Linked DNA regions of Oryzias latipes. The main gene of each other region encodes a partner of the protein of the gene in region 2 in a complex. Links are inferred from orthologs where the notes say so. Each region holds a gene or a part of one and is shown on either strand. Other genes may lie near its edges.

Region 1 (3,752 bases), on a different chromosome or scaffold from region 2:
CAATGCAGGTCATGTTACAGCTATGTCATTTTATAAGAGAGATCTGGTTTTTTCTTAAATTAAAATCAGATGAGAAGTTTAGAAATTAGACAAGGATTTGGTCATTTGAAGATTTTTGTTTTATAAAAATAAACTGATTTGTTAAAACAAAATTTATTCGTGAGAAAAACAATGGAACATCCCACGTAACAAAATAAAAGGTTTTTGTTGACTTGATTTAAAATATAATTTACATTTGGAGTCCATATTTCGTGCTCCAAATATGAATCACACAGAAGCAAGATTAATATTTCCATAGTTGTTACTCGAAATTTGAACTTCTGATTGTTTATGGAACTTACATAAATGCTGAATTGAATTCATGAAGGAGAAATTGTGAAAAATTTTCATTTATTCATTTATTCATTCATTCATTCGTTCGTTCATTCATTTGTTCATTCATTCATTCGTTCGTTCATTCATTCATTCGTTCATTCATTTGTTCATTCATTCATTCGTTCTTTCATTCATTCATTCATTCATTCATTCATTCGTTCGTTCATTCATTTGTTCATTCATTCATTCGTTCGTTCATTCATTCATTCATTTATTCATTCATTCATTCGTTAATTCATTCATTCATTCATTCATTCATTCATTCATTCATCTTCTTCCGTTTGCTCCCTTTCGGGGTCACGGGGCTGCCAGAACCTATCTCGGCCACTTGTGGGCGAAGGCAGGGGGCACCCTGGACAGGTCGCCAGTCTCTCGCAGGGTTGGAATAATTTTAATAATTTAAATTTGATTACAGCAACAACAACAAAAACTTACACTGATTTTATGAATGTTTATGACACAGTGGCCACTTATAATCCTTGTGGACAATGGGTTGATGTTAACCACAATGTAATTTGAGTAAAGGAAACCAACTAGAGTGACAAAAGACAGAAATCTAGTTCTCATCCCAGTAGAATAAAAAAAATCATCATGCAGAGGGGCGTTGATAAAAAAGGATCAACTCACTGCCAGGAGCTAACAGTTCATTTCACCTCCAGAACAGAGGGTGGCGCTGTTGCGCGGTAGAAGAGTTCAAAGCTTCCGCTGTTGCCGCTTTGCAGGAATCTGCACTGCAGACTTGACTGAGCGGACGGTAGGTGTTGAATGTAGTCGTTGATGTTAGAATGAAAATGTTTGCTTTTTTAATATTTATTTTGCATACGTACTTCGTGTCTTACTGGCGTTAGTTAGTTTAGCCTCAATGCGTCTGTCAACGTTTACACCGGTTGATGAATGAAGCTAACGTTAGCATACTAGCATTTTCGTTGTAGTTGTCTCAGTTGCAACTGATGATTCAATGTGGGATCAATTGGGGAAAAATATTGCATGGAGGATCACATTATTGCTTGATGATAGGAGCTGCACGTGGCTAGCTGAAGTATAAAAACGGTCAAACATTTCCCCCGTGACTTAGTAACGTTAGTGTTGTTATCGTTTCTCCCTGTGTGTGTGTCGGCGCACATATGTTTTTCTGTTTAGGGTTTCTTTTACGACACGCACGCAGGCAGCGGTTTACTGTAGCTTCCTGAACAACACTGTATGTTTTGATGTGACGCCTGCCAGTGATTCTGCGGTTGTTCAGAGCCACCTCTGTGTTTTACAGGCAACACTAAGGGACCAGGGCACACCTGAAGCTCGCAGGTAAAGCCCACGCGGAGCTGGAAGCTCGCCACTATGGCGGACATCAAGAATTTCCTGTACGCCTGGTGTGGAAAGAAAAAGCTGACTCCCAACTACGAAATCCGGGCGGCGGGCAACAAAAACCGGCAGAAGTTCATGTGTGAGGTCGGTCTGCATTCACAGCCAGCTGGTTTGTAACCAGACTCTCCCGTAACGTCTCTGTTTGCTCCTGAAGGTGCGGGTGGATGGCTTCACCTATGTGGGGATGGGAAACTCCACCAGCAAGAAGGATGCTCAGACCAACGCCGCCAGGGACTTTGTCAACTATCTGGTCCGAGTCGGGGAGATGAAGGCTGAAGAGGTTCCAGCTCTGGGGGTCAGAAAGCTTTTTTTTACGCTTTTTTAAAGGAGATGTAAAAACAAAGCAAACCAGAGGAACATCTTTCCAATCAATAGAGCATCCAGCTATGTTCAGGCCAGAACAGAAAACCATTTAGAAAGTCAAGATCCATAAAGACTGGGAGACTGCAAGGATTAGTCAAAAGTTTACCAGTGGGCAGCGAACACTTAACCGGAACTGACGGCCTTTTGTTGTTCTACCCAGGCCGTGGCTCCAGAACCCAACCAGCCCGAAGGACCTCCGGGAAGCTTCGGAACCCTCCCAGCCAGCGGGCCGCTGCCCCCCCACCTGGTGGTGAAGGTGGAGAAAGGTTTGAGCCGAACACACCTAACCTGCTGCTCCCTGACTTCAGTCCTCTTCATCCTGTGGTTTCTGTTTTCAGAGGCTGATGCCTTCATCAATGCACCTCCAGGACAGACTGAACAAGGGTTCCCTCCTAGAGGTGGCAATGGGGGAGGAGGAGGAGGGGCTGAGTGGGACAGAGGAGCCAACCTGAAGGAGTACTACGCCCGGAGGGATGAGCAGGAGGCTCAAGCGGTACTGGAGCCAGCTATGTGCCATGAAGCTGCTTTTCAAGAAGATCCCGGTCCTTTTGAGCTGTGTTGTCACATGTTGCAGTCACATGACTGTGACAACATTAGGCGGCTTCATAACAGGTGGGACTGCTCTGCCTTAGTACCGGTCCCACTAATGCGGCTCTCCTGTTGTAGACGCTGGAATCCGAGGAGGTAGACCTGAATGCAAACTTGCACGGAAACTGGACCCTGGAGAACGCCAAGGCCCGTCTCAACCGGTTCTTCCAGCAGGAGAAGATCACCTCCGAGTACACGTACAGCCAAGTGGGACCCGATCACAACAGGTCTGGATCAGCGCTCCCCTACAAGCCGTCTGACCAGATCCAGCCTGACGAGCCCAGGTCTCTCGTCAGTCTGGATCTGGTCTTTTCTGCTGTTCAGATCTGTCAGGTGGGGGTGGGAGAGTGGGGTATTGACAAATGAACTCTAATTAAAAAGCTGCAGCTTCTCGGGTTGGTAAATGTTTCCTCTGAAAGGGGCCACACTCCTGGGCCCGCCGCTCACTGGTAGCACCTGTGTGTTTTTCTGCCGGACTGCTGCAAACCCAGAGAGCTCCTGCGTGTGCCGGCTACACCGGAGAGCCCTCACAGCCACATGCTCAACTCAAAGCCTGCAGAGCGACACTAGAACTCACGACCACGCTGAGGAAATACATGGGGATGGCGTTTAGGTTCTCTAAAGCCCCCCCATGGGTGCAGCTCCGTGGTCTCTGGTCGTGATTTGTGGTGTTGCTCTTCATTGTAGGCTTTAAAACCTGAAAGTCTGGCAGAAAAACGCCCAGGTTTCTTTCTGAGGACACATCAGGTGAGTCTGCTCCTGAGGGATGCTTGGCTTTAGGCTTTTACTTTGAAAGGCACGGGATGTAACTCTGCCATGTTATTTGTCTGCAGGAGCTTCATAGCAGAGATGCAGCTGTTCGTGAGGAAGCTCGGCAGAAGTAAGTTTTGACATGTCTGTACATGAGACCACAGAGACGGTTCTGTGCTGAGATTCTTTACGCTTATTTTAGCAGAGCCAGTAAATAGAAATTGGTGCTTTCCTTAACAAATAGAAAACCTTTTCTCTTGTGTTTTAAGTATCAGAAAGCTTGTATTTTTTAGCATTTTGAAATTTTTCTTAAA
Region 2 (3,500 bases):
CCCCACACTGAAATCAGTGGTATTCACCTGTATTCTCTGCATTGAATTCTCTTTTTCTGGTAGATCTTTGTTGGGAAGATTCCCAGGGACTTGTTTGAAGATGAGCTGGTTCCTCTCTTTGAGAAAGCTGGATCTATTTGGGACCTCAGGCTCATGATGGACCCCCTAAGCAGCCTTAACAGGGGTTATGCTTTTGTTACATTCTGCGCTAAAGAAGCAGCACAAGAGGCGGTCAAACTGGTGAGTTCATGGAGTTATTTTCAGACAAAAACTTTCATTTTCAAATTAAAATGGGCCGAACGGCCTGTTCCTGACCGTCATCCTGAAATGCCTTTTTACAGTGTAATAACTACGAGATCCGCCCCGGAAAGCACATCGGTGCGTGTATATCTGTCGCCAACAACAGGCTGTTCGTTGGCTCTATTCCCAAAAGTAAAACAAAGGAGCAGATTGTTGAAGAGTTTTCAAAAGTCACAGGTACGACCGGGGTTCCTGTCGGTACTTGAAGAACTTTCCTTAAATATAAATCTTGTGATTTATTTTGTTCTGAATCTTCTTTGTGTCCAGACGGCCTGAACGATGTGATCCTGTACCATCAGCCCGACGACAAAAAGAAGAACAGAGGCTTTTGTTTCCTGGAGTTTGAAGACCATAAAACAGCCGCTCAGGCACGGCGCAGGCTAATGAGTGGGAAGGTCAAGGTCTGGGGCATCCTGGTCACAGTGGAATGGGCTGATCCCATCGAGGATCCCGACCCAGAGGTCATGGCCAAGGTGAGCATCACCCTTTGAAAACCTGATGCTGAACTGAGAAACCCAATGCATGGAAACGCCTGCAGGCCTGTTCCTTTGCCCCCTTGGGGAAGGATGGGTTTGTTTGAATGTTATCTGGCCAAAGCGGTACTCTTCAAAAAGTGTTACTGCATGACAGAGTACTTAAAATGCTTAATGTCCTTATTTTTAACAGTCTGCAGTGCACCTCTGTTTTCACACACACAAGGAAACATATTTTACCTCTCATCGCCACGGCAACAGACTTTTTTCAGAGCAGTGCACATTATCCGTCGGGTAACTGTATTAGGATCTTCTGCTGTGAAGTACAGACAAAGCTGCGCTCGCTAGAGTAAAGCTCCACCCCCACAGCCTCACGCCTTCTCATAGGAGCCGCCCACAATCACTGGAAAGGCAATATTATTGGCTAGAGTTCAGTAAGACTGGAGAGTGATACGTGATATGAACGAAGCCCAGAAATCTGTTTTTAATGGTTCTGGTAATGCGGCACACGTTGGTACAAGGATGTCCTGACAGAAGGAAGCTGCACAGGTCTGATGGGAAAAGCGTTTCTCTATCTGTGTTGCAGGTGAAGGTTTTATTTGTGAGGAATCTCGCCAACAGCGTTACGGAGGAGATTCTTGAGAAGTCTTTCAGTGCGTTTGGAAAGCTGGAGCGAGTGAAGAAGCTGAAGGACTATGCCTTCATTCACTTTGAGGAGCGGGAAGGTGCAGTGAAGGTACACACTTTCATTCAGAACCAGAGCATTCTTTCTAAAAAACAACACAAAAGAATGGACCTAAAACTGACCAAACCTTCATTTAGGCCTTGGATGAAATGAACGGGAAAGAACTGGAGGGAGAGCCAATCGAGATCGTCTTTGCCAAACCGCCGGATCAGAAAAGAAAAGAACGCAAGGCTCAAAGGCAGGCAGCCAAAACACAAATGTATGAGCTGTTAAATCAGCAGGAAAGCCTTCCTCCTCCACAAATACTGACTTTATGCTTCTGATTTTTTTTCCTTTCTGTCAGATATGATGATTACTACTATTACCCTCCTGCTCCCCACGCGCCCCCTGCAAGAGGCCGGGGCCGAGGAGGCAACCGGGGTGGATACGGCTACCCCTCCGACTACTACAGCTATGATGACTACTATGACTACTACGGCTATGACTATCACAACTACCGCGGCGGCTACGAAGACCCCTATTACGGCTACGAAGACTTCCAGTCCCCGAGCCGAGGGCGCGGCAGCAGCAGGGGCGCCCGTGGCGGAACTTCACCGGCTCGAGGACGCGGCAGCGCCGGCGCGCCGAGGGGCAGGCCCAGCTTCCCCCCGCATGGAGGGCCTGGACCGAGCCGCGGAGGGCGGGGAGCGAGAGGAGGCGTGCAGCCGAGAGGGCGAGGAGGGGTACGTGGTGTTCGGGGTGGCCGCGGTGGAAATGTAGGAGGAAAGCGCAAAGCTGATGGGTACAACCAGCCAGATTCCAAGCGTCGCCAGACCAATAATCAGAACTGGGGCTCTCAACCCATTGCTCAGCAACCCCTCCAAGGTGGTGATCATGCTGGTAACTATTTTGGTTACAAATCTGACAACCAGGAGTTTTATCAGGATTCTTTTGGGCAACAGTGGAAGTAAACCAGTAAGGCTTTCATAAAAGGAAAGAATTTATCCTTTCTGCCTTGTTTTTTCTCATTTAGAGACTTGATCTAATTGGCCCTCTATTCCATTTTGTTGCCAGCTTTATTTTTTTGTTTTTTCCACTCAAAAGTTAGTGACACCTGGCAGGATATCTTTATGTATATATTTTATCGATCCGCTTGGACTCGATCTAGTCACTCTCACCTGCTTCTGGCAAACTGCATTTTTTTCCTTTGTTGTTTTTGTTTTTTTAAGGTGGTCGTAAAAGATTCTTCAAATCCAACTTTTCCAACATTTTTAGATGCGAAATGTGCTGAAGCTGTCTATTTGGCTGTAGCTTAATGTATGTTTTATAGAAATTCTGATTTTAATGTTTTAACTAGTTAAAATAAAAAAGCTACCAAGCTTCTGTCTCCTAAAAATGTATTTAATAAGAGTGAAATTACAATTTGTATTGTAAAAGTAATGCGTGTCTTGTTATTGAAAAGAAAAAAAAAAAAGGACAACCGTAGTCCTCATTTTTGGGCTTTACATTTTGGCTTGTATTCTTTGCTGTTTGTCTGCTTTAATAAACATACACGCACACGTGTACAAAAACTTCAAATTGTGTCGCAAATTCATGTTTCGGCAAATTCTCTTTTCAAATTTTCTTCAAATTTAAGGCTCCATGTGGAAGAAGGTGGACTGAAGGTTTGCCATTGTTGGCCATATGCTACAGTGTCACCTTGCATGCCATCCAGTTCCAAGTCACCTTCTGTAGTCGGCATCTCAGAGCTCTGTCTGTGTAGTGGCGTACCTCATGTCCCAAAACATCTCACTAATTGGTGTCCCAAATTCACTGTCAACGCAGCGACGTCAGAACGGCCTGGGGGGGGGGGGGGGGGGGGGCACAAAAGCACAATTGGATTGTAGCCTCAGACTGAAGCTTTTCCTGGTCCCAGAAGGAACTTTGCTGTTCACAGCGTGGAAACTAAACCTGCATGTTTATCTCCAGGTTTGGCGCCGGACTTGTGTTGGGAAGCAGCGCTTTGCATGCCTCCTCCCTGTAGATCTGATTTATGCCCTCATTCCTGCTTCACCCGTGTCTCT

What was found.
Region 1: heterogeneous nuclear ribonucleoprotein Q (region 2) and dhx9 share a complex: the UniProt entries of both Homo sapiens proteins name them as parts of the coding region determinant (CRD)-mediated complex. The link is inferred for Oryzias latipes from reciprocal best matches to the Homo sapiens genes SYNCRIP and DHX9.

What each region holds. Positions count from the first base shown.
Region 1 is NC_019875.2:12,671,911-12,675,662, reverse strand, and holds the start of dhx9 (ATP-dependent RNA helicase A), read left to right. Parts: upstream 1-1,031; 5' UTR 1,032-1,129; intron 1,130-1,639; 5' UTR 1,640-1,710; coding exon 1,711-1,821; intron 1,822-1,891; coding exon 1,892-2,032; intron 2,033-2,260; coding exon 2,261-2,366; intron 2,367-2,438; coding exon 2,439-2,593; intron 2,594-2,766; coding exon 2,767-2,915; intron 2,916-3,375; exon of another isoform or gene 3,376-3,435; intron 3,436-3,521; coding exon 3,522-3,568; intron 3,569-3,752. UniProt on the Homo sapiens protein: Multifunctional ATP-dependent nucleic acid helicase that unwinds DNA and RNA in a 3' to 5' direction and that plays important roles in many processes, such as DNA replication, transcriptional activation, post-transcriptional RNA regulation, mRNA translation and RNA-mediated gene silencing.
Region 2 is NC_019882.2:1,562,532-1,566,031, reverse strand, and holds part of heterogeneous nuclear ribonucleoprotein Q, read left to right. Parts: intron 1-63; coding exon 64-240; intron 241-341; coding exon 342-477; intron 478-567; coding exon 568-773; intron 774-1,359; coding exon 1,360-1,509; intron 1,510-1,595; coding exon 1,596-1,717; intron 1,718-1,801; coding exon 1,802-2,408; 3' UTR 2,409-3,500. UniProt on the Homo sapiens protein: Heterogenous nuclear ribonucleoprotein (hnRNP) implicated in mRNA processing mechanisms. Component of the CRD-mediated complex that promotes MYC mRNA stability.